4 linked regions of the Rattus norvegicus genome follow. The protein of the gene in region 1 interacts with the protein of each later gene in a pairwise test. Links are inferred from orthologs where the notes say so. Each region holds a gene or a part of one and is shown on either strand. Other genes may lie near its edges.

Region 1 (6,773 bases):
GCTGCTCCTGAGAGTTAGCGCCAGGACAAACACATTAGCCTACTTCATATCTTGAGGGCTAGGAAAGAAAGTGCACGGAATGGCCTTCCTGTGAACAATTCACGAGGTGGCTGGTAAGAGCCCCAGATCCAACCCTGCAGAGAATTTATTTGCGAGGAAATTGATACCCATGTTATTGATCGGGGTGCCGATCCTGCCAACGCTTCATTCTCGAGCCAGCATTTGAAAGCCCGATGAGAAATCTGTGCTAAAAAACGTGAAGCAAACAGCTCGTGAACTCTGCTCCTTGGCAATTTGGACTTTGCCTGGTGAGTTGAGCCATGTGGGATTCTCCAGCGTTTATATTTCTTATAAGGTGTTGCTCAGAACATGCTCTGCTCACTGGCCAAGACAAGCAGGATACAATTCCAGCCCAGAGCAAAAGCACTGCCAACAGCCTTCTCAACAGTGCGGAGTTTCCCTCCAAGATAAGAGAGCAAACTGGGCTCAGTGATTGAGGTTTTGACCTGATTCTTTATTGCTACTTATCTTCCCACGAGTTTTACTTCAGAGAGTTCTTGAAGATAACCTCGTAGGGTAAGTGAGACTTGCAATCCAGAGGAAAAGATACATTATTACAACACTCTCTTCCAGAAACGGAACTGTTGGCCAGGTCCAGAGCTCTGTGTCAGCTTTCTTCTTGATGGGTTACCCGAGCTGTTCTAATGCAAGCCTCAGATGTGGTAACCCAAGGAATTCTGGATAGGCTAGCGAAGGAAGAACACGTAAGCACTGACTCAGTGAGTTAGGGCTGTGCACAAAGGAAAGCAGGCAGAGCTCAAGCTTCCTTTGTTGGGCCGTTCAGTAGCATTTTCTGATTGAGCATGGAATGAACAGCTCCATCCCCAAATGACTCTCTTATATGTGGTATCTTCTTGTATCCTCTCGTGCTGAAAGGGGCAAGCTCTGTTGTAAGGGCACCGATCCCATTCATGGGGACCAAGTCAAAGACCTGCCTGGTAATACCATCGCCATGGGGGTTAGGATTTCCACATGAGGGACACATACATTCAAACCATTGCCTTGGGGGTTAGGATTTCCACACATGAGGAACACATACATTCAAACCATAGCCAGCAAAAGGCAAACATCTCAGTGCCCACTGTCTAAGCTAATGGAGATACACAGTACGGGCCCTCTGTTGTGACCCGATTTCTCCAAGGCCCTTTAACGCTACGCATGAAGGCAAGTGTGTGCGTATCAGTGTCTGTCTCTGCTGTGGTGAGTGGTCAAGAACTAGAAGGAGGGGAGGAACTACCAGACCTTACATTTCTTCATCTTCCCCCAGGTGCCTTTCTAACCATGCCTCTTGTTGCATTTCTCACTGAAGTAATGGAGGATCCATGTGCCATTTCAGTTTGGGGAATCAACGTTGTTTCTTTGAGATCTGCAGCCCTAGGGTCTTGCCTATCCTCCCCGCAAATCTGATGCCTTGGGGGTTGGCACGTCTAGGTTGACACTTGCAGTCAGAGATACAGGAAAGTGACCCATGGCAGAAAGCTAATCAGCGATTTACCACGTGTTAGGAACCCTTGCAGTAAGCGATACCTTTGTTCCTCCAAATCTTCTGCCCAGTACCTGTGTGCAGAAGGATCTGAGTCAGCGGTAGTCACGGCATTTCCGTTTCCCCAGTGTCACAGTCGCTGCCTCTTACCTTGCTTCTCTTTCTTCACCGCTGCCCTTTTATCTGGAACTGCCACGTGGTGTGGACTGCTTCACACCATGCACCTTGCTCTATTCAGAAAGCCTTTCAGCCTGCAGCTGACCTTGTCATTAAACATACATTAACAAGATCGAATGGTGTGTCTTCAAAGACTTGCCTGAGTCAGGCCTTTCTGCTGAAGTGCAAGCTGGACACTGACATAAAAAAATCTAGAGTTTTCTGGCCTGGAGTGATGGTTCAGTGACTAAGCGTGCACACTGTTTTTGCAGAGGACCTGAGTTCAGTTCCCAGCCCCCACACCCTGTGGCTCACAACTACCTGTGCACCAGCTTCAGGGAAATCCAATCCCCCCTGCTGGCCTCTGAGGACACCTGCATTCCCATGCGCATACCCACATACATGCACACATATGCATAATTAAAAACAAATCTTTTAAAAGTATGTCCTTTCAGCTTGGACCACAATTTTAAAAAAAAGAAAAAATCTAGAGGGTCGGGGGTAGACGATGCATACACAAAAGCCCTGGGGCTGAGTCTCCAGCATTTCATAAGAAAAGAAATTTAGAAACTTTAATTCCATTCAATAAAAATCAAAACGAAAGTGCTCTCCTGGTAGGGCCATGTGCACATGGCTAATTGAATGTCCTCTTGTCCAGGCCAGTGAAAGACGTGTTCACCTCGTCGTGTCCCGCCAGGTTCGACAGCCCAGCCCAGACATCTTTCAAGAAGCTGGCTGCATCAGCAACGGCCAGCAGTCTCCTGTCTCAGGGGAGAGGAGCACATCTTCTAAGGTGAGGGCCAGCCAGGCGTGTCGGCAGCTCCTTCCTGTGAGGGGCTATTTCTTGGGAAAGCCGTATACTCTAATGTGTCTAAGGGCTGTCTCTGGACTTTGTCGTTTCAAGAAACACTACTCCTGAAACTAGAAGGCCAAAGTCCTGTCTTCATACTTGGAAGGTGACAGGTGTCTCCCGTCCAAGCAGGAGTGAGGAGGAAGGTGCTGGGGGAGTGTTAGATCCCAGCTTGCAAGCCTTCTAAGGGACCTGCTTTCTAGTGTAAGCCAAATGCATGTCCTACTTTTGACCAAGAATCCTTCCTCATAAGGACTGTTTTCCATTCGCTTTCAAAGGCGGCAAGCAGTTTGCTTGATTTCGTGGTTTTTGAGTTTCCCAACCTGCCTGGAAACTCTGATTCCCTTGCTATTCCCCGCCCCCTGCTATTTTTAATGTTTGTGTTTGTACGAAAGACAAGGAAGACACTGGTCATACTTGAAGAGCATGGAGCATTAAGGGGAGCGGGGCCTCAGACAAGGCAGGAGCACATGTCTTATCTTACATCATTTAAATCCAGAAATTAAAAAAAATATTAAATTATTCATTTATTTTGTAGGGCGAGGTATACACACATGTACACGTAGACACACATGTGCTATGGTGTATGTGTAGAGGTCAGAGGATAACTCGTGGCAATTGGTTCTCTTCCTCCCTCCCACCATGTTGGTCCCAGGGCTTAAACTAAGATCAGCAGGCTTGGTGACAAGCTCTTTTGCCCACTGAGCCATCTCAGTGGCCCCAGGAGATGCAGTCCAGTACGTTCTTGTCTGTGGCTTCTATGAGATGCAAGTATGCAGTTCATTTTGATGGTGTCTTATCAACACATTGTCCAGTCCAGATCAAGTCCTCTGACCTTGGCTCTGTCACGAAGATGGACAGCTTCCTCTTTCTGGTAGCTTGTGTCATCGTGGTACTTGTTACTAAAGATAAGCAGGGCTGGAACGGGGTTCAATCGTTTTGACCACTTGTTCCTCTTGCAAAGGACCCCCCCAGTTGTTCCCAGCACCCACACAGCAGCTCACAACTCTCTATGACGCTACTTCCGGGGAATCTGATGCTCTCTTCTGTCTCTAAGGGCACTGCACACACCTGGTGGTGTACATACATGTAGTAGGCAAAACAGCCATGCCCATAAAGATATAAATCGATGTTTGGATACAACCTAACGCCTTTATATGTAGCCTGTTTCCAAAACGGAGATGATGGAATGAATGAACATATTTTTCTTTCCATATCGGGCCAAAGGTTGAGGGTCTTTTTGAGTAATAATTGCAGAAAACATCTCTGCTTTATAATCAGGAGCCTGTGATCACCTTCATTCAAAATCTCCAGCCAATGGCATCTAGATAAATCCTCGAGTTCCATGTTTTTGTATGGGAAGCAATCTAGATAAGCTAAGTGTACCCTGCTAAAAAGTTTTATGCACAAGGACTCCCTGATACTTTCTACCCAATAATAAATACTGTTAGTGTTTTAAAGTTATCTGATAGTATTCATTGATGTCAAAATATATGTGAGATTTTTTAAAAATCTTGCCTGAAGCTTGTATCTAACCAGCTGTATTAAGTAGAATGTGTTATATTTTCATTCATTAAACATAGAAATGAGACCTATACCACAGAAAGGCTATATATTTTATGTATATGAGTACTGTGTCTGTCTTCACACACACTAGAAGAGGGCATCACATATCATTACAGATGGTTGTGAGCCACCATGTGGTTGCTGGGAATTGAACTCAAGACCTTTGGAAGAGCAGTCAGTGCTGGAAACCATGAAGCTATCTCAGAAACCCCAATGAGACTCTGTAACTCCTTCTACCTGCCTACCATGAGCCATGGGGAAGCCAGGATGGTCTAATGAGATCTTTGTTACAACCTTGTGTCATGTGTCTGAATTCCAGGAAACATGCTGGCCCACCGGGAACGAAGTTCTTTCCAATCATACTTCTACCTGCCCCTTACACACCCCTGCCACACCCATAAAGGGATCTACCTGGCTGTTGATGATTACGTTTTAAACTGATTTAGGAAAACAATGTGGCGTTTGAAAATAGGAGTTTAAGTGCTCCCAAGAAGTACCAAAGAAAGCAAGCCATAGTTTGTGGGACAGGAAAGCTTCTACCCCGGTGAAGAGTTAGGTACCAACAGGCGCCATCTTTAGGCCTGTGTTCACCATCATGAAAGAAGAAGGGGAATCTGACCAGCTCCATGTCACAGAGACAGTTACTAACCCTGGCACTGATTATCAAGCTACAGGGTCCTGATGCTTTTTAGACGTTTAGAATGTCTTATTCTTCCAAATCCCGGGTAAACATTCTAAAACATAAATGCTCCATAGACTTAAGTGCCCATATGGTTTAATCAATATGAACTATTTCACCATAAGTCAGCTTTTTTTTTTTTTTTGGTTCTTTTTTTTTCGGAGCTGGGGACCGAACCCAGGGCCTTGCGCTTCCTAGGCAAGCGCTCTACCACTGAGCTAAATCCCCAACCCATAAGTCAGCTTTTTAAAGTAGAGTGAGCAGGTCAGACAGAAAGAGTTTTGTCCGCCAAAGGTTCCTCCTCCTGCCCCAAACCCAGCAAGTCAGCATGAGGAATTAACTCAGAGATTCGAGTTTCTCCATCACTACCATCTGTCTCTCTCTCACGTTCTCTCTCCCACTGGTGGGGAAGGCAAACGGCCATCAGGGACACAGGCCAAGCGCAGTCCTGGTGCTCGGCCACTTGGTTCAGCGGTTTGGAAAGTACCAAAAATGGGGAAAACGTATAGGCCCAATGTGTGCCTCTGTATGGTTTGCGTGCACGTGCATATGGGCATTGACAAATACGTGACAGCATGCGCATGTGTGAGCGTGTGCATGTAGATGCCAGAGCATGACACCGGGTATCTTTCTTGGTTGCTCTCTACATCTTTACTGAGATTGCTTCCCGCCTAAGCCAAGCTTGCGTATTTGACTAGTCTTAACCAGCCTTCTCTCTCTGTGGATCCCCGAACTCTGGATTACACATTAGCCACCATTTTATATGGCTGGCGTTTATATGAGGTCCATTACGTCAGAAAAAAATGTAAACCTAGAGAAGCTTGCTGGGCTGGCAGAATTGCTCAGTAGGTAAAGGTATTTGGCTGTCAAGCCTTACCAGAGTGTGTTTGATCCCCGGGACCCACACGGTGGAGTGAAAGAATCAGCTTTTGTAAATTGTCCTCTGACAATTACATGTCACATGCATGCTGTAGCATGTGCTTCTCAGCTTCCACACATTCCGCTAATAAATATGATTTTTAAATATGAAAGATGTACTGACAGGGACAGTGAGTGTTCTGAGAAGTTGGCCTACTGTAATCAGAAGTGGGTGGCTTCCTTGAGAGATTCGGGATGCAGCCAAATGTATACGATCCAGATTTCTACCACGGTCCCCAGGCTGTGGCCTTTCTGTGTTTAGTATTCCGTTCTGCAATGCAAACCTCTCAGAGTCAACCCTTAGAATCTGCGATGCTGTATCTGCGGTGCTGGAATTCGTGATGCTAATAACTCTTTTGATGCGAGTGCGCGGATATGTGTGAGTAAATGGGCCTGGTGAATGCATGCACCATGTTCTTTGTGTCTGTGCCTTCAGCCTGCAGCCACTTGTCATGAGAAGGTTGTAAGTGTCCAAAAAGACCCCAACGAATCTCTCGGCATGACCGTTGGAGGGGGAGCATCACACAGAGAATGGGACTTGCCCATCTATGTCATCAGTGTTGAGCCCGGAGGAGTCATAAGCAGAGACGGAAGAATAAAAACAGGTACAAAAATCAAAGAGAATAAAGGCATGGGGTGGCAGAGCCTGGGCGGAGTTAGCAGCCTGCTGGGTTCGCTAACTGCTCTCCCAGAGTCAAGGAGAGCATGTGAGAGGGAGCTGGCCATGATTGCTACGCTCCTTTGGGCAGGGTGAGCATGCTGTAGTCTAGGCTTGCCTCTCTTAGTGCACGGGAGAGGGGAGGAGGCAGCTTTGCTAGGAAAGGTAGCGCCTCTAGACTTTCTTTCTTGGCTGAATTGACAGCCGCTACACCTGTGAGCAAGTTGCACACAATTGCACAATTCTAAAGCACAATTTAGATCCATGCAATCTAACGCCCCTATGGATTCTACGGAATGCTCCAATAGTGAAACTGATTTACGAATTGTACAGTTTTGTGGGCTAAATGGGATGAATGTGTTGATAGATCTCGATTCAATGGTATAATTAAATATCACTTTGC
Region 2 (7,255 bases), on another chromosome or scaffold:
GCAGGTGGCCCGTGATGTAGCCATGGTGGCTGGGGGTCTAGGTCGCCAGCTGCTTCAGACTCAGGTGGCATCACCTGCGATCCATCCTCCTGTGAGTTACAATGACACTGCCCCAAGGATCCTGTTTTGGGCACAAAACTTCTCTGTGGCATACAAAGACGAATGGAAAGACTTGACCTCCCTCACCTTTGGTGTGGAGAATCTTAACTTGACCGGCTCCTTCTGGAATGACTCCTTTGCCATGTAAGGGAAAAAAAGGTTATCCTGTCATATATGGTTTTCCTGCTACTGTGAGCCCAGTACAGGACAAGGATGTGGGATGGATGTGTGTGTGTGTGTGTGTGTGTGTGTAGGTATATAGGTATATATGTTTGGGGTGAGAAAGGTCTTTGTGTGGTGTGTTCACCAAGGAGATGGATATCACAGTATCCCAGGTGATGTTGCTGGGATGTTACTGGAGAGGGATCCTCTTAGGAGTTTGGCTTTCTCATGCTTTTATGTCTTGGTTGTTGGGTCCTGAACACCACACAATCCTTTGGGACCCTGGCCCTTCTTTGAACCCAACCCCTTGGACTGCATGTAGGCAAATACCAGACCAACTGTTAAAACCAGTTCTAGGTCTTCTACCCTTGAAATCTCAGCTGGCAGCTAAATGATCCCAAGAAGGAGGCCTACAGGACTCAGGAAAACCAGAGTAAGGAATCCTAAGCTGGAGATGTAAGACCTAATTGTGCTCCAGCTGCTCCTAATTTGGTTATGACTGGAGCCTTAGTTTTCCCATATGGTAAATGGGGACACTGTATTGACAGCTGGCTGGCTATAAGGATGGATCTAGGGTTGCTTAGGTTGGAGCCAACCTGATCAGGATCTTCTTAAGGTTCTTCTAGAGCCTGACAGTACTCCTGTGCCTTGTCCCATAGGCTTTCACTGACCTATGAACCACTCTTTGGTGCAACAGTGACATTCAAGTAAGTTCTGTTGGCTGAAGTTTGGCTGGGCTGGTATGTCTTCACTCTATTTTGTTCATCTGACATCTCTGCAACCCCCACCTCCCAGGTTCATTCTGGCTAGTCGCTTCTACCCAGTATCTGCCCGATATTGGTTTACCATGGAACGACTTGAAATCCACAGCAATGGCTCGGTTGCCCATTTCAATGTTTCCCAAGTCACAGGACCTAGTATCTATTCTTTCCACTGTGAGTACGTCAGCAGTCTGAGCAAGAAAGGCAGTCTCCTTGTGACCAACGTGCCCTCCCTCTGGCAGATGACTCTTCATAACTTCCAGGTATTGAAAGGGTGATGGGCCCCCAAGCTGGTGGCAATAAGGGGCGGGAAAAAGGGCCCAGAGAATCTCTGCATGGTTTGAGCATGTAGCCGAGAGAGTTCCATCCTTGTATAGTCTCTGAAGGTATAACTATTCATTAATTCCAGAATCCCAGCACTGAACTGTTTGTAGAACCTTGTGGTCCCATCTGATCCATGTCTATGTATCTCCTAGATCCAAGCCTTCAATGTGACTGGTGAACAGTTCTCCTATGCTAGCGACTGTGCTGGCTTCTTCTCTCCGGGCATCTGGATGGGGCTGCTCACCACCCTCTTCATGCTTTTCATATTCACCTATGGTCTGCACATGATACTCAGCCTAAAGACCATGGATCGCTTTGATGACCACAAGGGCCCCACCATCACTTTGACCCAGATTGTGTGACATATACCAGAGAGGGATTGAGGGAGTATTGGTGTCTAGGTTTCCATTTTGTGACACAGTGGATGGAAAGGTTTGTCCTCTTCCTACTATAGCATGAACCCTACATACACCACCCTCAGCCTGTCTTGCTTCCTCTTTCCTGGACAGGGACTTCCCTGAGGCTATCCCCCACTTCTACCAACAAAGTGTATTATTCTTCATAGATAAATCTTCCAGGCTTCATCAAGAGGGGAAGGGACCTTAATTCTAGGGTGCCCCCCTTTCCCTTTCTCCTTATTTATTCTTGCCCCTCTGCTATTATTTCGTGCTGTTTATAGTGCTTTTGTGTAGTAAATACTCACTCCCCAAGCTTTATGGAGCTTTCCAGCAATAGCCATGAACTTGAGGTCCCTTGAATTTGAGAGGTGTGGAAAGGCTAGTTAACTGTCCAGCTTAGCCTTTATGGGTTTTTTTTTTTTTTTGGCGGGTGGGGGTTAAGAATGAGCGGTACACTGGGGTTTATTTCTGTGACCTGAGAAGGAAGAAATCACCACGAGAACTGGAGAACAAAGTGTACTCATTGGGTTTCTGGTTTGTTCTCACAAGGATTGCCTGTCAAGAAGCCAGAAGTATGTGTGTGTGTGTGTGGGGGGGGTGTGCTCTGTTGTTTCATTCCTAATAAAATAAAGACGTGTTGCCATGTGTTGGGCTCCAGCCACTTATTTCTACACTGGACAAGTAGATTTGTTCTTGACTGAAGGGAAGAACTGCTCAGATGTAGTCCTGTCAGGCAAGAAATGAGAGAGGAAGGGTGGGAGGGTCTTCAGTAAGCCGATACTCTTAACAAGCCGGAGAAGAGGCTTGTTACTTTTCCTCGCCATGGGAGGAATCCTGACAATGGCAGCTCTCCCAGCGCTAGGGCCAGCTGCAACAACACACTGCAGGGCTTCCATGCCTTTCTGTTTCTCCCAGGGGCGGTACGGGAGCGCGCGGGGCGGGGCGGGGCGCGCGCAGCTCCCGCGCAAGGATCCTTCGCTAGACGTAGCACCTGCCGCCGGCCTGCCCCGCCCCGTATTTCTCTGGGCTCACGGAGAGCCGCGTTAACCCCTGCAATCATTCTGGTGCTGGGACCCAGGTGCCAGAACCCCTCCTAGAAAACAAGCGAGGAAATGGTGGCTTTGGTTGGGCGTGGCTTGGCCAGAGGAGGGAGAGGGACTCATTGACGCTGCGTAGGGATCGGGAGACGACCGATAGACGCCATCTTTGGGTCAGTGCGGCGGCAGCGGCAGCGGCAGCAGCAGCAGCAGCAGCAGCAACAGCAACAGTAGAGGCATTGGTAGCAGCTGCTGTGGTGAAGGAGGAGGAGGAGAAGAAGAGCGGGCGCTGGTACCAAGGCCTGACCATGGATGAGGAATACGATGTGATTGTGCTGGGGACAGGTCTTACCGTAAGTGCCACCTCAGGCGCTCGTAGCCCTGCATCATGCCATCCCCCACCCCGCAGTGATGCAGAGTCCGGGTTACCCGACCCATCCTCCCATCATTGCGTTCCTGCCTCCAGCCCTGGAAAAGCCCATGCCCACCCCACTACCTCATCCTAGAGTGTTGATGCCAGTTCGCAATTCTTCGTAGAGGGCCCCACTTTGGCCAGTATTCCAGCACCCTAGATCTTAACCACGGACCCCTCACCTTCCCTATCTGTGTCACTGAGGTGGAAAACTCACCCCCCTCACACACACTGGACCCGTTGCATCCAACCCCACCCTTCGCCTGCACTCATCACCTGCTCAAGTAATTGATTAGCATCTTTTACCATCTTGTGATCACACTAGGGCATGGAGTATGAAGATAAAGATATGGGGGCTTTTCAAGGGTGGGCCCTCATCCTGCCTCTCTGCCTTTTGGGAGGGATAGGGAACCCATGGAATGTTCCAGAAACAGCGGGAGGGAGGGAGGGAGGGAGTGTGTGTGTGTGTGTGTGTGTGTGTGTGTGTGTGTGTGTGGTGTGTAGGGAGGGGGTGTTAGTGACCGCTTTCCCTCTACCCCAATTCGGTTTCCCATGGAGACCTCAGAGTGAATATATATCCTCAGCCTTTGTCCTTGGGTTAGTGACAGTGACTGGTGAGAGTGTCCGGTGTCCCCGTCGCCCCCCCCCCCCCCCGCACAAATCTTTTTTCGTTTGAACCCTGAGCCTAGAGCAGTGGATGCACAGCCAGAAGAGAGTCAGGGGCTCCTGCCCTTAAAAGGAGGAGCAGGGTGGAGCCTGGGATTTCAAGGACTTGGCCTTATCTTTCAAAGAGCCTTTGAATTGTTTCTTCTGTAGACTCATTGTCTTGTCTTTTTGTGAGCTCAGAGCAGGTAGATACTTTTGGCTTGTTGATGCTAGAAGAACTGTAAGCTCTGTCCCCCAAGCCTCCTTTAATGCTCTAGTAGTTTACTCAGCAGGGTTATAAAGGAAACATCATATGAAGCTATCTTCCCCTCCCCAGTTTTAGGCACTGGAAAGAGGTAGGACTTTGCATTATGAATTTTGTAGTGGGCATGAGGCAGGGACAAATCAGAGATGCTCATTGGAGGGTAGATGAGGTATAGCTGCCAATGCCACTCTTTCCCCAGGAATGCATCCTGTCTGGCATCATGTCTGTGAATGGAAAGAAGGTGTTGCACATGGACCGAAACCCCTACTATGGGGGTGAGAGCTCTTCTATCACACCCCTTGAGGAGGTAAGATTTCTTATTCTCAGACTTGGGCTTAGACCCAGACCCCTTGTTAGTCCCCCACATAGGTGTAAAGGGGGGAAGTAGTTCTCAGGTCCCAGGCAGGAGAGTGGGGAAGGGAAGCTAGTCCTTGACATTTGTCTTTCTTTCCTGTCCTGCTTACAGCTATATAAGCGCTTTCAGTTGCTGGAAGGGCCCCCTGAATCAATGGGCCGGGGCCGAGACTGGAATGTTGACTTGATCCCCAAATTCCTCATGGCCAATGGTGAGGGAGATTAAAAAGGGCGATGGGGGTGGTGAGTAGGAAGATGGGGTATGGGGTGTTCAATCTCCAGAATATGATCAGTCACACTACTGAGAGTTTTTTGAAGGAAAACACACCCTTACTCCCTTTGGACACAGGTCAGCTGGTAAAGATGCTACTGTATACAGAAGTGACTCGTTATCTGGACTTCAAGGTGGTAGAGGGCAGCTTTGTATACAAAGGGGGCAAGATCTACAAAGTGCCATCTACTGAGACTGAGGCCTTGGCTTCTAGTGAGTATGAGTCTCCTTAAGCAGAAGAATGGGGCTGGAGGGGACAAACTGTTTTCAGGACAGTTGGGCAAAAGGCTCCTCTTTGCATAAACCTAATCTTAGCTCCGTGTAGTCCTAGAGGCCCCTTGCTTTATAGTTTCTTTATTGGACAGTGCTACCAATCTTGGCAAGTTGCCAGAAAGGAAGTTCACAGAAGAGGATTCTTTTTTGTCAAAGGGCCTACTTGCCCTAAGTGGAGCTGGGAGGGTCTCTTCCTACAAATAGGAAAATTGAGACCAAGAAAGGTGGAGCAGTGTTGCATAAGAGAGTTCTGGTGGGAGCCAAGGCACCAATTTTCCTGGCCTGCTCTGTTAGAAAGAGGAGCTCTATGTCCGAGTAATGCAAATGATCTTTTCAATACCTTTCTTTCAGATCTGATGGGCATGTTTGAAAAACGACGCTTCCGAAAATTTTTGGTGTTTGTGGCAAACTTTGATGAGAATGACCCCAAAACCTTTGAGGGTGTTGACCCGCAGACCACCAGCATGCGTGATGTCTACCGGAAGTTTGACCTGGGCCAAGATGTCATTGATTTCACTGGCCATGCCCTGGCGCTCTACCGCACTGATGAGTGAGGGGAAAGCTGGCTGGTGATGGGAGCCCCTTGTCTGGCTCACACCCTCTCCACACCTGCCTATTGTACCTACTGCCCATCCTGCATGTCACTTGTACTCAGCTCCAGGCTCACCTGTTCCATTTCCATCCCTCTCCATTTGACCCACATCTTTGCCAGGTCACAAAGGGTGGTGGGAAGGCTGGCTGGTGTCTTTGTAAATGAACAAGGGTGCTGCTATCAAAGCATATTCCCTGGTTCTTTTTCCGTAGTTACCTGGATCAGCCATGTCTTGAGACTATTAACCGCATCAAGTTGTACAGTGAGTCCCTGGCCCGGTATGGCAAGAGCCCATATTTGTACCCACTCTATGGCCTGGGTGAGCTGCCTCAGGGCTTTGCCAGGTGAGGATCTGTCTTTTTCAGCTAGCATTACTGGTAAGACAAGGCCAAGAATGGAAATTACCTTGAATATTTTTGTGGCATCTCCTACTTTCCCATCTAATTTTCATGTATATTACTGTATCCCTGGGTAATGGGGGCATAGCCCTAGTGCATTAAAGTGCAGAGTAGAGGTTGGAGAGATGGCTCAGCAGATAAGAGCACTTGTTTACACCAAGGACCCGGGTTCAATTCCAATACCAATATACATGGTAGTTCACAACCATCTATAATTCCAGTTTTAGGGAATTCATAACCTTCATCTGGCCTTCATAAGCACCAGGCATGCATGTGGTGTACAGATATACACGTAAACAAAACACACACATGTGTGTATGTGTGTGTGTGTATATATATATATAATTTTAAAAGTAGGTGGAAATACAAAGTAAAGAAGTAGGTCACCATGAACATAGCTTCCCCCAGCTCTTGGTAGTACCAGGACTAAGTCTAGGACCCCGGAACCTTGTGTCTGGGCTTCCCTGGAGTTTGAATCTCTTACAGAGAGTTCTTTATTCTTGACTCCTAGGCTGTTTCTTGGTTTGTTTTTGTTTTGTTTTGTTTTGTTTTTTTGTTTTTGTTTTTTTTTTCGGGGCTGGGGACCGAACCCAGGGCCTTGCGCTTCCTAGGCAAGCGCTCTACCACTGAGCCTAATCCCCAACCCCTCCTGGGCTGTTTCTATGTGGAGCTACTTCTTCATGCTACCTTCTGTTGACCCTTTGCAGAACAATATGTACAGAAACACCAGAGAGGAAGGAATATGTCAGTATGGGCCCTAAGTTTATGGGAGGGACACCTGAAACAGTTGGAGTTAAACTCTGTATACCTGTGTTCTCTACCCCACTGGTGGGGTGAGGAGGGTACAGTAGAATTGGTCCCCACATTTCTGAGAAGACTTCCCCATCATTTTTCTTACTACAGATTGAGTGCCATCTATGGGGGAACATACATGCTGAACAAACCAGTGGATGACATCATCATGGAAAATGGCAAGGTGGTGGGTGTAAAATCTGAGGGAGAGGTAAGCCTGCCCTGTGCATTTGTATTACCATGGTTTGGGTAAGATTTGGTCTTTTTCAGAGCTATGTTCTTAGGGAACCTTATTACTTCTTAACCCTGAGAACCTTATAGCTAAAGCCTGGGTGGTCAATAAAACTCTACATAGTTATTCCTGTTGGCAAGAAATATCCTTCAAACTACAAGGTGTAGTGGCACACAACTGTATTCCTAGTACTTGGGAGGCCAAGGCAGATGGATCTAAATTAATCAAGAGGTATCCTTC
Region 3 (7,490 bases), on another chromosome or scaffold:
AAATTATTTCATTGCTACTTCATGACTGTAAATATCTGATATGCGGGGTTGGGGATTTAGCTCAGTGGTAGAGCGCTTGCCTAGCAAGCGCAAGGCCCTGGGTTAGGTCCCCAGCTCCAAAAAAAAGAAAAAAAAATCTGATATGCTACTCCAAGTGGGCAACGACCCACAGATTGAGAAATACTGCTCTAGGTTATCTAATGACTTCTTCTTGCTTTCTCAGGCACCTGCATTCACACTCACAAGCATGCATGCGCGCACACATATGCACATATATACAGGCATACCTCTACTTACAAAATAAATCTGTTTAACACAGAGATGATGCAGGGCAGTGGTAGTACACGCCTTTAAGCAGAGCATTTGTGAAGCAGAGGCAGAGGACAAGGAAGAGGCAGGAGAATCTCTGTGAGTTGGAGGCCAGCCTGGTGTACAGGCTGAATTACAGGGCAGCCAAGCCTACACAGAGAAACCTCATCTCACAAAAACAGGGGGTGGGGGGGAGGGAGGGAGTGACAGATGGAGGGAGGATTACTGTCAAGGTCAGTAATTTGAATGAACTTGGATATGTTCTATGTCAGAATATAGCCTACCTGACACAATTAACAAAAGATTCAGTGAAGCCATGCCTGGACTCATGACCCATATATTCTGCAATAATAAATATGTGTTATTTTAAACAACTGAGTGTGTGGTAACTTTCTGTGAGGTGACTTTCTAGGATGTAACCGATAAACAATACAAAAGGAATGACATAGAGCAACCTGTTTTCAAATAACTGACTTCTGGTACATCTGGTGACATGGTCTACATGAAATATCATAAAAATCTTTGGGGCACTGAACTTTGTGTAACCATGAAACAAGGCAAAGAATAAAACCACTACTTTGGCTATTTTTCTTCCTTTCACTCTCCTCATCTGTTCATCTCAGTGATTGGAATTCCCCTTTTCATAGAGTCAAATACACTATAATAAACTACAAACACATCTCTAAAAGTAAACTGTACACTTTAAGGCTGGTTGTAACACTTAGTGACCTTTTATAATCCCCAAATACCTCACATAAGATTGAACAAGTTGAAATGGTGACTCATTAACCAAATAAAAGTTTGTCAAATGCTAGGTTCAATCACGATTCTAAAACACTAAGAAACCTAAATAGAAAAATGACTTTAGTTTTGCTTCTTTGGGAAGTTATTCTTGGTGTTGAGTCACAGAAATCGAATATATTGCTATCAGTAAATATGTGACAAACTCCTGTGAGTGCTCTAGCATTCTAAACAGAAGAAATGAAGGGAAGGGCCTGGTCACCCATGTCAGGAAAGACACCACTGGCAGTAACTCAGGTAGAATTGGTACTATTTTTAAAGCTCTTTGTGAAAAAACATTGCATAAGTTCTCATAGTGACTCACTAAGGCATTGAGTCATGGGAGAGTAGGAGGGGTAACAGAAAATGCTTTTCTGCTTTCATTTCTACATACAGGATATTACTAGTTAATAAAGGCCAAGTCACTTACTAAATATTAGGAGTGGCTATGTGGTAGTAGTCCAACCCCTCACTGTACAGACCGGATGCTGAAGACTATCTGATACTTTATCTCATTACAAAAAAAAAAATAACTCTTCTGACTGATTATAGAATCCAGGAAAGGCAATGGAAGCAGGGCACTCAAAGGATCTGTCCAGGAAAGTCCATAGTTAAAGAAAGGTCCTTCCCCAGAGATATGAATACTTACTTTTCCAATGGGTATGACCAGGAACAGGCAAACCCAAATGCTTCCAAATATTTTGATCTCTGGGCATCTAAAAGTTAGTGTATTCAAGTTTCCTTATCTTTAAAAATGGTAGAAAACATAACACAGAGCCACACATCCCTGTAATCATTGGAGTAATGTTATCATGACACGTTCAGTTCGTTTAGAATTATTTCGAAATAAAAAGTTAAAGGAAACAAAAGACGCACATGGACTGGAGCAAGTAAGTGCCACCACAGCTTCTGATAACAAAGGAAGCCAGGAAATAGTCAGATATCAGTGTGCGGAAAGAAAACTTCCAAACCTCAAAATCTCAAAATCTATAAGCAGTGAAATAAACCTTTCAATAATGTAAGATGACATACATCATTGAAGGGAATGATCAAGTATTTCTCTCCTTCAGAAGGAAAGTCGACAGGGAAGAACAGAGTTTTAAGAAGGAAATGAAGGGGAGCTAAGAAAGTAAACATTGCCAGGTGGTTGGGGTCAGAGGCAGGAGGATCTCTGAGTTACAGGCCAGTTTGGTGTAGAGTTACAAGACAGATGAGTCTACACAGAGAAACCCTGTTTCAAAAAATAAACACATAAATGAAAGAAAGAAAGGAAGGAGGGAAGGAAGAAAACATTTTAAATCTAGCCATCGAAACACTGGTTCTCAACCTTCCTAATACTTCAATCATTTAATATAGTTTCTCCTGTTGTGGTGACCCTCCACCATAATATTATTTCATTTCTACTTTATAACTGTAATTTTGCTGTTGTTATATTGTTATGAATTGTAATGTAAATATCTGATATATAGGCTATCTGATATGGGACTCCAAAGGGGTTGTGACCCACAGGTCGAGAACCACTGAACTAGAAGGAAAGCAATCAAGGACCTTTCTGACCTTAGAAAATACAAGAAGGCTGTGGTGAACATTTTTAATTCTAGCACTGGGCAGACTGAGGCAAGCAGATCTACGTGATTTGTGAATTCTAGGACAGCCTGTTGAAACATAGTGAGTTCCAGGATGGCCAAGACTACACAAAGAGACCCTGTCTCAAAATCCAAACAAGATTCAAACCCACACCTTTCTTTAGTCATGAAAACGGTGACATCACTACATCTCAATGAACTGCCTGTGGAAAATTACAAGAGGGGAAAGGAAAATTATGCCTCCAGACCACACTTTGGGAATGGCTGCTCTTATCTTTCTGTCATACCCTAAAGTTGGGCTTCCTGAGTTTGCTTTTCTCAATGTCGGGGTCACAGAGGCAATCCACATTTTCTATTTATGAAGGTTACTAGGGGACAAGCTGGCATTCAAATGCTTCCGGGAAGGGTCCGCAAGGCGCCGCTAGAGAACTCGAGGCTAAACAAGGCAGCAGCGCACATCGCCCTAACCCGCCCTCCAGGTTTGCGTCATGGTGTCACGAGAAAGCCCAGAAGAGGGCGGTGTCTGGAACAGAGGGCGGTGCTTCCTCAGGCTTGCATCTTTACTGGTCGAGATCTCTATGTCTCTTAGTCCGGGGAGGAGCTTCTGCATACTTAAAAGGCACTGTCTTGCCACTGTAGCTGCGCAGCTCCCCAGAGTAAGTCTGCCAGTTTTCTGTCTTCTACTGAGGTTCGCCGGGTCATGGTGCCAGCCTGACTGAGAAGAGGACGCTCCCGGGAAACGAATGAGGAACCACCTCCTCCTGCTGTTCAAGTACAGGGGCCTGGTGCGCAAAGGGAAGAAAAGCAAAAGACGAAAATGGCTAAATTTAAGATCCGTCCAGCCACTGCCTCTGACTGCAGTGACATCCTGCGACTGATCAAGGTAGGGAAAAGTCCGAGATCTCCCTAGGGCAGAGGATAGGGGAGGCTCCGTTTCCCGGGGAAATCCTCATCTTCAGTTTTGAGACGCTGCCAGACCAGTAAATTCCCCTTTCTTGGCCTGCTAACCCCAGCCCGGGTCAGACTCAGCAGTGCGGCGCCAGGCAGAACTCAGTCACCGCTCGACCCCGCCTGCCCCATTTCCCCTCCTGTGAGCTGGCCAGGTTGGCCAGGAGTTTCATTGTCCTTTCTTTTATATGTGTCGTCCCCAGGAACTGGCTAAATATGAATACATGGAAGATCAAGTAGTTTTAACTGAGAAAGGTAACAAAGGCGTGGCGGGGGAGAAGGGAGGGGGGACAAGGTATCTGTTTCCCCGCATCTCCAAAGGTCAACTCAACACAGTTTCTGCCTCCCCCATCTTACAGATCTCTTAGAGGATGGTTTTGGAGAGCACCCCTTCTACCACTGCCTGGTTGCAGAAGTGCCTAAAGAGCACTGGACCCCTGAAGGTAACCCCTTCTCCCTGTCCAGAAGCCAGAGAGAACTAATGCTGTATCAAAACCATAGAGCCTACTTTGCAGAACCCGTGACTACATGGGCAGAGGTTACTGAGGAGCTGGCTGGAAATAACAGCCAGCCAGTATGCAAATGACTGAGGGAAAAAATGTATGTAGTGTACTTTATAATAGGGCGGGTTACAAGAGCTGTTTGCGCAAGTATCAGAGTGCTGTAGAAACCCGGAAAAATTAGGTATAATGTCATTTGTTGTAATTCCGTTTCATAAAATGGTTTTTGTTTGACCCTAACCTAACCTCTTTTTTGTAATTGTGTTAAATCACATTTTTTTCTTTAATTTGTCCCAATCTTCAGGTTACAGTCTCTAGCTTCGCCATGTACATGGCCCTTCTGTGTACATGGATGGGCGGGGAGGTAACTAAAAGATCCTTTACACAATAAAGTAGATGATCATGATAAATGAGGTAAGGTCCTATTATCACACACTTAAAACACGGTAGATCAGAAATTTATATTCGCTTCCTGTCTGTCTGCAAAGAAATAGAAAATGCCTAGAAAGTTTAATTTGCAACCATTGCCTTTAATTTGAAATCTTTGCCTCCATTTGGAATTGAATTGACACTCCTTATGAGGGAGTCTGTTTTTAATTATTTTTATTTTTATTTATGTATTTACTTTTTTTGCTGGCCCTTGTTGACTGGTCAGAAGACGGCTAAAAGGGGAAGTTGTGGGTGGGTGCTTTCTTGAGTCTTCTGGTGTCTGTTCCTTAGGCTAGAAGATAATCAGAACACATGAGGCATGAGATAAGATTTAGAAGTATGTGGGTGTTAGGTAACACCTGTTTCTGGTTACTGCTATTTCTCCTGCCTTAAAGATTGGGGGAAGTAAATTGAAAATTCATACGTGGGAGGGCAAGTTCTGAAAGTAAACATTGTACTTTTGGCCTGGTATTCTGACCTTAAGGAAGCAAGCGTTGGTGAACTAAAAGTATTTCCTCTTCTAAACTGCTGTGTAAACCCAACTTTTGCCAAGCCAACATACCAGCATGTCATTAGGATGTGAATAATATGTGTGTTTAGTTTAAGTCTGTGGCCCTTTTGCTCTGGCACGTAATGAAAATGTTCTCATTTCCTGAGTGTGAGTTCAGCAGACTGGAGACTAGCCAGTCAACAGGTGTAGCCTAGCTTTAGCTATCTCTAATGTGTGCTTTTTGCAAGTACATGTCTGAGACCAGAGAGATCATTCATCGTTCATCTGGACTGTACTAACATAAACATAAGGAGGCAGTCCAGTTCCTGGCTACTTGTTGCAGTGGTGAATGCATATCTATTTTCTTAAAAATCTACAATAGGCTTCTGATTCTGCCGATACAGCTTGAATGGGTTGTTTTTCTTCTTGCATCTCATGGGATCCTCTTATTACAGGACACAGCATTGTTGGTTTTGCCATGTACTATTTTACCTATGACCCATGGATTGGCAAGTTACTGTATCTTGAAGACTTCTTTGTGATGAGTGATTACCGAGGTACAGTTGACTTTGGGGATTAGAGGAAAAGAGGAATCAGAGCCCTATGGCCTTAAAATGACTAAGTTGACTTGTATTTCTTTCTTTTAGGCTTTGGTATAGGATCAGAAATTTTGAAGAATCTAAGCCAGGTATGTTCACCAGCTTTTCACTGCATAGCCTAGTATTCCTTATGAGCCTTGGCTGGCCTCAAGCTTGTCTTCACCTACCGTGCTGGGATTAGAGCTGGGACCAGATATCCTAGATTTGGGCTTCTGAATTTGTAAGAGTTATTGGGCTATTGTAATTAATGAATCAAATTTGGGTCTTGGCAAGAGGGTGAAATGTTACTGGGCTTATGTTCTCTCTTGCTTGTACTAGGTTGCTATGAAGTGTCGCTGCAGCAGTATGCACTTCTTGGTAGCAGAGTGGAATGAACCATCTATCAACTTCTACAAAAGAAGAGGTGCTTCGGATCTGTCCAGTGAAGAGGGATGGAGACTATTCAAGATTGACAAAGAATACTTGCTAAAAATGGCAGCAGAGGAGTGAGGTGTGCCGGTATAGACAATGACCACCTCCATTGTGCTTTAGAATAAATTCTCAACTTCCCTTGCTTTCTATCTCGTTTGTAGTGAAATAATAGAGTGAGCATCCATTCCAAAGCTTTATTACCAGTGGCGTTGTTGCATGTTTGAAATTCGGTCTGTTTAAAATGGCAGTCATGTATGTGGTTTGGAGGCAGAATTCTTGAACATCTTTTGATGAAGAACAAGGTGGTATCATCTTTATATATGAAAAACAAAACTTCATTCTTGTGAGTCATTTAAATGTGTACAATGTACACACTGGTACTTAGAGTTTCTGTTTTGATTCTTTTTTAAAAAAATAAACTACTCTTTGATTTGAATATTCAGTGTGAGCATTTTTACTAGTTCTGTCTTCCTCATTACTTTTACAACAAAAATAATATGTAAAATAAAAATACCTATCCAACAGTTCTCAGGTGCAGGTAAACATGAATAGGAGAGGTTGCCTGGTGTTTGGAGTACCCCAGGTTTCATCCATAGCACCAAAGGGTTCGGGGATGACTTGGGAAGGAAGGAATGAAACTGGTACATACAATGAATAAGTCAATTGTGCAAGTAAAATGTGAAGGTCGGTTTATGAAACACTAACAATCAGGAAAAACATCATGTCCCCAATGACCTCATCCCACACAAAATATCCCTTGAAGTAAAACTAAGTGGGTCATTCTGCTAATCAAGAGGAAGCAAAACTCTTGGTTTTTAACAAGATTGCAACTTTAAAAAGTGACAAACAAGCAACTTTGTCACGAGCAAATCCAGTGACTTCACATGTATCTGGTGAGATACTGTTTTAAACTAATGTCCTTCTATAGGACACAATACTAGTCTTTCAACTAGAAATACATAAGCAAATACTTTTCTCAGGAACTGAAAATGAGCCTTTAAATGCGAAGGGAAAAGACAATTTTCTTAGATCTATGAACTTTAATTACTCATTACATTGACCTATATTCCCAAACCCACTAATTTGTATGATCATAAAAATGATAGTGGTTAAGAATTTCTGAAAACTAGTGTCCAAGATTAGTGTTTTCGAAAGCAGTTCTAGGATACCTACACAATAGCAGGAAGTATTGAACCCTTCCAGTTAAACAGCTTTGGTTCTGTGTTCCTTTGGCTCAGTTTCTGCTACACAGTTCTAGATAAGAAGGCAGCTAGATAGAAAAGTGTGAATATGCATTTCTTTTGAGCTTTGGGTGTTTTTGGTGGCTCAATTTGTCATGAAAATAGGCATACAGAGTTAGATCTCAATCAGGGTCCTGCTCAGATGGCAAGTAATGGGATTGCTGGCAAAAATCAAAGACTAACAGAACACAAAGAGC
Region 4 (7,241 bases), on another chromosome or scaffold:
ATTCAGGCCTGCCAGTGTAGTGATGGCTGTAGAGACAGAATGGGTAGGGGTGGGAAGAGGGGGGGGCCTCTCAGCAGAATGAGGAAGGTAACCTGCAAAAGAGACAGGGGTACCACAGAGGGCAAAGGGGGCATCGATAGCAGGAGAATAGCAAGGCTGAAAAGGGAGTCAGGGACATGAGCCCAACCAGCCTTGGGGCAAGAAGTTGGCCCATGGGATGGGCTAGGCAGGAATGGCGGCTGGCACGTGTCTGTGGCAGTAGGAGGGCCCTGGCTGCCAGCCCAGATGCCTGGTGGCTTCTGAACTGGGTTCCTGGGAGGGTGAGAGCCCAAGAGATGTTTATCCAGAACAAGAACGTGAGTATCACACCTCCTCCAGCAAGGGCTCCCGGTGATAGGCAGAGGCTGCTCTTTCCTGGGCTGCATAGTCTCCTGAGAGTTGCCTGTGAGTGGGGTGCTGGGTAAGCAAGAAAGAGCAGCCAGCCCAGCAGCCCCTGCTTGATCCAGGACCTGGGCACATGGCTGAGATGGAGCCTTATCCATGCAGATAAGGGAGGGGATGAGTCACAGCAAGCTCTCCCAAGAGGCCCCTGGAAAACAAGCTCATCCAAATGCAGACAGACACTTGTCCCTGAATAAACATCCCTGTCCCTGTCGCTGTCACACAGGGTACATACAAATCCCTCCCCCTCCTCCCCTGACTCACCCACCTCCAGTGCCCCTGCTTTCTCTCTCAGATCTCAGCCCCAATTATCCATCCCTGCCGACCATCACATGACCAGTGGGCATCCCCCCACCATGTCAAAGCTGGCTGCAGGGAGAATGGGAGGGAGTAAGAGTTCTGAGCCCATGGAGACCAGAGAAGGGTTGGGGCCATGTCTGAAGAGCAGCAGAATGAAACAAGGAAGTGGATGGTCAGCCTGGAGAGCTCTGACAAGCAGAAGACAGGAGCATCAAGGTACAGTGGAGTACAGTGAGATGCCTCCCAGGGTTCTCTACTCGAATCCCCATCCCCCAAGCAGCTCAGACTCACCCTCTAAGGGGTAAGCTGGGATTTGAGATAGGGAGGGCTATTGCCTCCTCATCAACCCTGGACATCTTGCAAAGTAGAGGAGAGAGAGGCTCTGAGCCGGGGTGGGGTTTGAGAAAGGATATCTTAATGACTCTAGAGGAACAGGAAGTCTAAGAGCTCTATCATGTCACCCCAGTTCTGTGCCCATCACCAGTAACTGGGATACCCAATTCTTACTTCCAGGCTCCCTGAGTCCTCCCCCAGGCTCCATGAGAATCTAGCTAGGACACTAGCCACTTTAAGACAGAGATAAGAATCTGTCCCCAGATATATCCTTCATTGTGACCAGTCACTGCCTGCTTGCTACCTTGCTGGATAGGGCATTTCATTTTCAAGTTCCCAACCCTATGCCTGTGCCTATGGCATATAACCACAACTATGCTATCATCTGCACCCTAGAGGGACAGCCAGTCAAGTGGTGCAGAGGGGCGTCGCCGACACTCAACACACTCACAAAAACATGTGCATAAGCACACATTGCCATATTGTCTGTCCACACGGAGGTGCTGGGATGTGGTGGCAGGATGCGTTTGGAGTCAACACTAACTCTGCTGGCCTCCAGTGGAGAAAGAACTGAAGGGTCCCAGTTTCGCCCAGAACAAAGTCAGTAAACAATCCCATACGGCTGCTCCCCCTGTCCCAGTGGAGAAGGAGACTAGGGTTCTCCCGGGGATGGACTAGAACTGGCCAGTCCCTGCTGATACAAAACACTGTCGCCCCCCCCCCAGGAAACCACGGAGCCTATGCAAAGCCTGGGGTGTCCAGCCAGCCTGCTTTCCTGGTCAACACTTTTTGCTCCTGGTCGCTTTTCAACATCCAGGTTCCAGGACTCACCCAGAAAACAATAGGAGAGAGGAGAGGGACTCTAATGGACCCACCCACCTCCTCAGACCCTGCTGCCTCCCTACCCCAAGTAAGAGGATACTAACTTTTCCCTCCTCACCCTAGAACTTTTGGGTGGTTCCAATTTCTCACTAATTGCCTGCTGCTTCCCCCTCTCTGCCACTTGCTTCTCTCTCTCTCTCTCTCTCTCTCTCTCTCTCTCTCTCTCTCTCTCTGTCTCTCTCTGTCTCTGTCTCTCTCTGTCTCTCTCTGTCTCTGTCTCTGTCTCTCTCTCTCTCTCTCTCTCTCTCTCTCTCTCTCTCTCTCTCTCTCTCTCTCTCTCTCCCCTTGCTTGTTTAGGCTTTTTTGTTTTATTGGTTTTGGTGTTTGTGGGAGTTTGAGTTTGGGGTTTGGATTGGTTTTAGTTTGCTTGAGAAACGATCTCACTATGCTGGCCTTGACTTATAATCCTCCTGCTTCAATTTCGGTAGCAGTGGATCACAGACCTGCCACCAACGTCTTGCCCTTCAAGGACACCAGAGGCCCAGGTGTGACCTCCATGGAACTGACTGCAGGGCCCTCCCACTCTCCTGCCTACACCTTCCCAGACTCCTTACTGTCCCAGGTGGATCGGGCTCTGCTGTGTCTGCTGCCCGCACCCGGCCCGCAGCTCCCTACCTGAAGCAGCAGCCTCCTCCTCTGGATGGATGCCGCACCCCCGGGCTCAGAGCGCTCGGGCCGCGCGGGGCCCGGCGGAGTCCCGGGGGGCTGCGGGCCACAAGAAGGCAGAGGCTCGAGCGCCTCGCAGCACACCAGGCTCACGGTGCAGCCCATCCGGCCCGGCACCCGGCGGGCCCGGGGCGGGGACGCGGACTACCAACGAACCGGCCCACCCCCAGCCCCAGCGACCTCTCGGCCCCAGGCGTCTGCGACGTGGGGAGAAGGGCAACGCCCCCGGCCCGCCCCGTCGGGAGTCCGCCTCCGCCTCCGCTACCGCTCCGCCAGGCAGTGGGAGTGCGGGGGCCCGGCCAGGGGCGGTGACACGGACGCTGGAGGCAGTCTGTAGGGAGGGGACCCGAGGGCGCGGGAACCCGGGAGGGGCTGTGGCGGAATCCCCGAGACTGGCTGAGCTGGGAGCGCGTGAAAGAGAGCAACGCCGTGACTAGTGAATGACTGAGAGACTGACACCAGAGAAGAGATCTGAAGGGACAGAAACGATGGCACGGAGGACAAGGGGGGCCCAGGGGTAGATCCGGCTCTGCACTGGGAAGAAGGGCGGGACGTGGAGCAGAGAACAGCAGGTTTGGGGATCGCTCTGTTCCCTGCTTACAGGTAGTTCCTCGAACTCATGAAAGTAGCTCTGAAGTCCCTAACCCTTGGTTTCCAGTCACCAGGACCAACCGCCCCATGTCAGACTGGCATAGAAAAAGGATGACCCCAGCACCAGAAAGCTGAGTGAAGTCAGCGAAAGAGGCCACCCTACACCGAGCAGCCCACCTGAGGTTTCCATCCCGGGGAAGTGGGTACCAGGACTGGAAGGAAGGTACCCCGACACTGGCCGGGATCCCGCTGCTGGCTGGGGTAAGAGGAAGAAGAAAGATACTTGGTGGCCATTTGCCTTCTCTCCCCACCTGTGCCACTTCCAGTCCAATGACAGAAGAGACAACTCGAGGGGGAAAAACAAAAAAGAAAACCGAGCCCCCTAGCGTTTCAGTCAGCCTCTCTCCGCCATCTACTGGCAACAAGACAGAAAGACAAGAGCAGGTGCCAGGGAAAGGAAGCCCCTATCCTTGTTGCGTTTGTGTTTGAGACACCAACTGGCCTTATGCCAGATGAGCTTGAAGGAGCCGCTCATTCTGCCTCTGTGCCCTCGATCTTTCTCTACTACTTCTCCCTGGCCAAGACTAGTCCAGCCCCCTCCAGGCTGGGCCTGAGTCACTCCCCAGGCAGGAGAACTGGGAAAGACTGCAGAGCCCACAGTCACAAGGGACATATTCAGGCAACAGAATCCTCCTGCCCACATCCCAACCAGACAGGCTTTTCCCAGGTGAGCACGGTAGTCCCTGGGCTTGGGGATCGGGTAGAGGAACCCTGAGGAAATGTCGGTAGAGAACTGTCTAATCCTTGATCTATAGATGAGGAAAGTGGAGCCTAAGAAAGGGTGACCAGTCCAGGATGAGACCCTTGTCTTCTGACCCCCCCCCAGTCCTGGTTTCACACACTGCTCTCCTTGCCTTTCTTTTTCCTTTCTTTCGTCCGTGATCCACTATTAGAGGGTAGCTACCCCACCCACAAACTCCATCACTCCTGCCTGGGAGGCTGGACCCCTGGCCTGGCCTTGATGACAGGATCTCAGCCTAAGTTCATCATCCCTCAAGGACAACAGTATCCCTCTCTGAGTCCAAGGACCCTTCGGAGACAGAAGTAGAGTCCTACAAGAGAGGGTGGTGGGTTAAAACCAGGTACCCCACTCCCCACAGCCAACATTGGGTTCAGTTCCTACACTGCACCCTCTGTCTACTTCTGCCTGCTTTCCCGGGGAACATACATTTTTCCACTCAGCTGGGGCTCTGGAAAGGATGAATGTGGGTCCCAAGGCAATGACACTCTGCTGAGGCTCATGGGCTGGCCAAGGGGAAAGGAGGTGACGTTCCCCAGCTGGGTGTCCCCATGGCACAGGCATCTCTCCGACTCCTAAGGAAATCTGAGTTCAGCTTACAGCTTTGTGATACTGGATTGAGATTTACCCTTTCTGTGCCCAGTCACTGTGTGTCAACACTGTACTGGAGGCTACTAAGGGGATTGAATGAGACAAAAATGTCAGCAATGGTCAGGGTGACCAAAACCAGCAATGGCTCGATAAGTGGAGGCCACATTCACATCTTTATACATCAGTCTTCAAGACATAACTGGCAGCTGGGTGGTGGTGGAGCATGCCTTTAATGTCAGCACTCGGAGGCAGAGGCCAGCCTGGTCTCTAGACCAAAGTTCCAGGACAACCAGGGCTACACAGAGAAACCCTGTCTCAGAGAGAGAGACACAGAGAGAGACAGAGATACAGAGAAAGAGAGACAGGCAGAGAGAAACAGAGACAGAGATAGAGACAGAGGGAGAGAGAGATGGGGAGAGAGGGAAAGACAGAGACAGAGACACACAGAGAGAAAAAGAGGTAGAAAGAAACAGAGACCGAGGGAAGGGAGAGGGAGAGACACACAGAGAAAGAAAAAAGAAAAAATAACTGGGATTCCTTGCAGTATACTCAGTAAACTATAAGAAAAGAAACGAAAAGAAAAGAATTGTACTTCATTCCTCCAGTTAACTCATTGTGTGACCCTGGTATGCTCTCGTTCTCTCTCAAGTCTAGACCCTCACCCATCTGTATGTAAGGAAAGCAAGCAGCCGAGCCCAGAGAATCACAGGAGGTCACCTTACTTTCAAGTCTCCATGGCAGAAAAGGAAACCATCCTCAAGATCAGCAGGAACTTGAAAAGTGAGCTGCCCTGGGAGGTTTTTCTGTGGCTAAGCTGTAGGAGGGGTTTCTCCTCAGGCCTGGCTCCCTCATGGCTCTCTACCATCCTCCTCCCAGATGCTGTCTCTGCCATCCTCCAGGGATATGGGGACGGGCAGGGGCCAGTGACAGACACAAGTGCCGAGCTACACAGACTCTGTGGCTGCCTGGAGCTGCTCCTGCAGGTGAGACCCTCCACCCTCCCTCTCCACCCTGCCAACTCCTTCCCGTTCAATACCCTAGAAAGCTTCTCCAGTTGTACGCCCAAGCCACTGTCTTCCTCCCTTCCCAGGCACAGTCTGCTTTCTCAGTGAGCAAGTCCTTCATGACATAACTTTCTCCCAGAAGCTAGGACTGGTTTTCATTGTTTTCTCATGTTTACCTCCTGAAAGACTTGATATATAAACATAAATATGCCTCCTCTCCCTCCTCTGACTTCCTGACAGGGAGCTGCACTTCTTACCACACTGTCTCCACCTCCCATAGCACATCAGGATTGCACCTGTCTCAGGGCATTTATCTGTCGTTGCCTCTATCCGGAATGCTATTCCCTAGATATTTGTATGACATCAGTGCACATGGCCCTCAAGTCTGGAGACTTCCTCAGGCTAAAATTTCAGACATCCCCCTTCCTCCTCTTCCTCTTCCTCTTCCTCTTCCTCTTCCTCCTCCTCCTCCTCTTCCTTCTTCTCTCTCTCTCTCTCTCTCTCTCTCTCTCTCTCTCTCTCTTTCTTTTTCCCTCCACAGCCACCATCACTATGTTAGTTGGGGTTTTGCTGTTGTGGACGGACACCATGACCAAGGCAACTCTTATAAGGACAACATTTTAATTGGGGCTGGCTTACAGGTTCAGAGGATTCATTATCATCAAGGTGGGAGCATGGCAGTGTCCAGGCAGGCATGGTGTAGGAAAAGCTGAGAGTTCTACATCTTCATCCGAAGGTTGGCATGAGACTACTGGCTTCCAGCAGCTAGAATGAGGGTCTTAAGCCCACACCCACAGTGTCCTGCCTACTCCATAAAAAGCCACACCTACTCGAACAGGGCCATACCCTCTAATAGTGCCACTCCCTGGGCCAAGCATATACAAACCATCCCACTATCTAACACTCTGTCTGCTTTGAGAATTTAACTCCTTTATCCTCTGCAGGCCTTGGTCATCATTCACGGGCCTTAGGTCAGGGCCAGTCCATAGTAAAGTGCTCAGTGTCTGTGAATGAGTGAGTGTGAATTCAGGCTCAGAGAGATCAAGTATCATGTCCCTATCACACAGCCAGGGAGGGCAGAGGAAGATTCCCTCAACAAAAAGGCCTGTCTTCAGGAGCCCTTTCTTCTACCATGTGCCTTCCCAGCATGCCAGGGTGCTAGGTAGGTTCCAGAAGGAGCCACTGACATATGTTCCTTTCTCTCATCTTGGTCCTAGTTTGACCAGAAAGAGCAGAGGAGCTTCCTGGGGGCTCGGAAGGATTACTGGGACTTCCTGTTCACTGCCCTTCGGCGGCAGCGGGGATACACAGAGCAGATGAACTTCATATGCTCACAGGACAAGGTAATGGGAGCAGGGGATGGGAAAGCGGGTGAGCTTTGTCCAGGCCTTCCCTAGATCCCACCTCTCAGACCTGCTCCACAAACAGGAGGCTTACCCTTGAATGATGAGGACCTCTCATTTGCCCCGGCTTCACGTCCAGCCTCACCTTTCTCCTCCCACCTTGGCCCACTCTTTCTCCCTCTCTCATTTGGCCCAGCTCCCCACCCTGATTTCACCCTCTCTCTGGCCCTCCTCACACCCTGTAGCTGAAGACCTCGCTAGGAAAAGGCCGTGCCTTTATCCGACTCTGCC

The links. The genes of interacting proteins can lie anywhere in the genome.
Region 2: the proteins of Lnx1 (region 1) and Gdi1 interact in binary tests that used the Homo sapiens proteins (3 or more experiments, as listed by UniProt). The two-hybrid records come from large-scale screens. The link is inferred for Rattus norvegicus from reciprocal best matches to the Homo sapiens genes LNX1 and GDI1.
Region 3: the proteins of Lnx1 (region 1) and Sat1 interact in binary tests that used the Homo sapiens proteins (3 or more experiments, as listed by UniProt). The link is inferred for Rattus norvegicus from reciprocal best matches to the Homo sapiens genes LNX1 and SAT1.
Region 4: the proteins of Lnx1 (region 1) and Rufy4 interact in binary tests that used the Homo sapiens proteins (3 or more experiments, as listed by UniProt). The two-hybrid records come from large-scale screens. The link is inferred for Rattus norvegicus from reciprocal best matches to the Homo sapiens genes LNX1 and RUFY4.

What each region holds. Positions count from the first base shown.
Region 1 is NC_086032.1:33,954,134-33,960,906, forward strand, and holds part of Lnx1 (E3 ubiquitin-protein ligase LNX), read left to right. Parts: intron 1-2,357; coding exon 2,358-2,492; intron 2,493-6,148; coding exon 6,149-6,317; intron 6,318-6,773.
Region 2 is NC_086039.1:157,235,935-157,243,189, forward strand, and holds the start of Gdi1 (rab GDP dissociation inhibitor alpha), read left to right. Parts: upstream 1-2,965; 5' UTR 2,966-3,089; coding exon 3,090-3,134; intron 3,135-4,302; coding exon 4,303-4,410; intron 4,411-4,569; coding exon 4,570-4,669; intron 4,670-4,806; coding exon 4,807-4,941; intron 4,942-5,352; coding exon 5,353-5,551; intron 5,552-5,805; coding exon 5,806-5,937; intron 5,938-6,894; coding exon 6,895-6,994; intron 6,995-7,255. Other genes in the region: Atp6ap1 (V-type proton ATPase subunit S1 precursor), read left to right, coding at 5-243, 921-968, 1,057-1,285, 1,499-1,708. UniProt on the Homo sapiens protein: Regulates the GDP/GTP exchange reaction of most Rab proteins by inhibiting the dissociation of GDP from them, and the subsequent binding of GTP to them. Promotes the dissociation of GDP-bound Rab proteins from the membrane and inhibits their activation.
Region 3 is NC_086039.1:44,004,889-44,012,378, forward strand, and holds Sat1 (diamine acetyltransferase 1), read left to right. Parts: upstream 1-3,200; 5' UTR 3,201-3,492; coding exon 3,493-3,558; intron 3,559-3,826; coding exon 3,827-3,878; intron 3,879-3,982; coding exon 3,983-4,066; intron 4,067-4,214; exon of another isoform or gene 4,215-4,537; intron 4,538-5,497; coding exon 5,498-5,599; intron 5,600-5,689; coding exon 5,690-5,730; intron 5,731-5,959; coding exon 5,960-6,130; 3' UTR 6,131-6,484; downstream 6,485-7,490. UniProt on the Homo sapiens protein: Enzyme which catalyzes the acetylation of polyamines. Substrate specificity: norspermidine = spermidine >> spermine > N(1)-acetylspermine. This highly regulated enzyme allows a fine attenuation of the intracellular concentration of polyamines.
Region 4 is NC_086027.1:83,149,188-83,156,428, forward strand, and holds the start of Rufy4 (RUN and FYVE domain-containing protein 4), read left to right. Parts: upstream 1-2,951; 5' UTR 2,952-3,474; intron 3,475-3,509; exon of another isoform or gene 3,510-3,940; intron 3,941-5,252; exon of another isoform or gene 5,253-5,257; 5' UTR 5,258-5,337; coding exon 5,338-5,383; intron 5,384-5,479; coding exon 5,480-5,586; intron 5,587-6,824; coding exon 6,825-6,950; intron 6,951-7,195; coding exon 7,196-7,241. Other genes in the region: Tns1 (tensin-1), read right to left, coding at 2,572-2,727. UniProt on the Homo sapiens protein: ARL8 effector that promotes the coupling of endolysosomes to dynein-dynactin for retrograde transport along microtubules. Acts by binding both GTP-bound ARL8 and dynein-dynactin.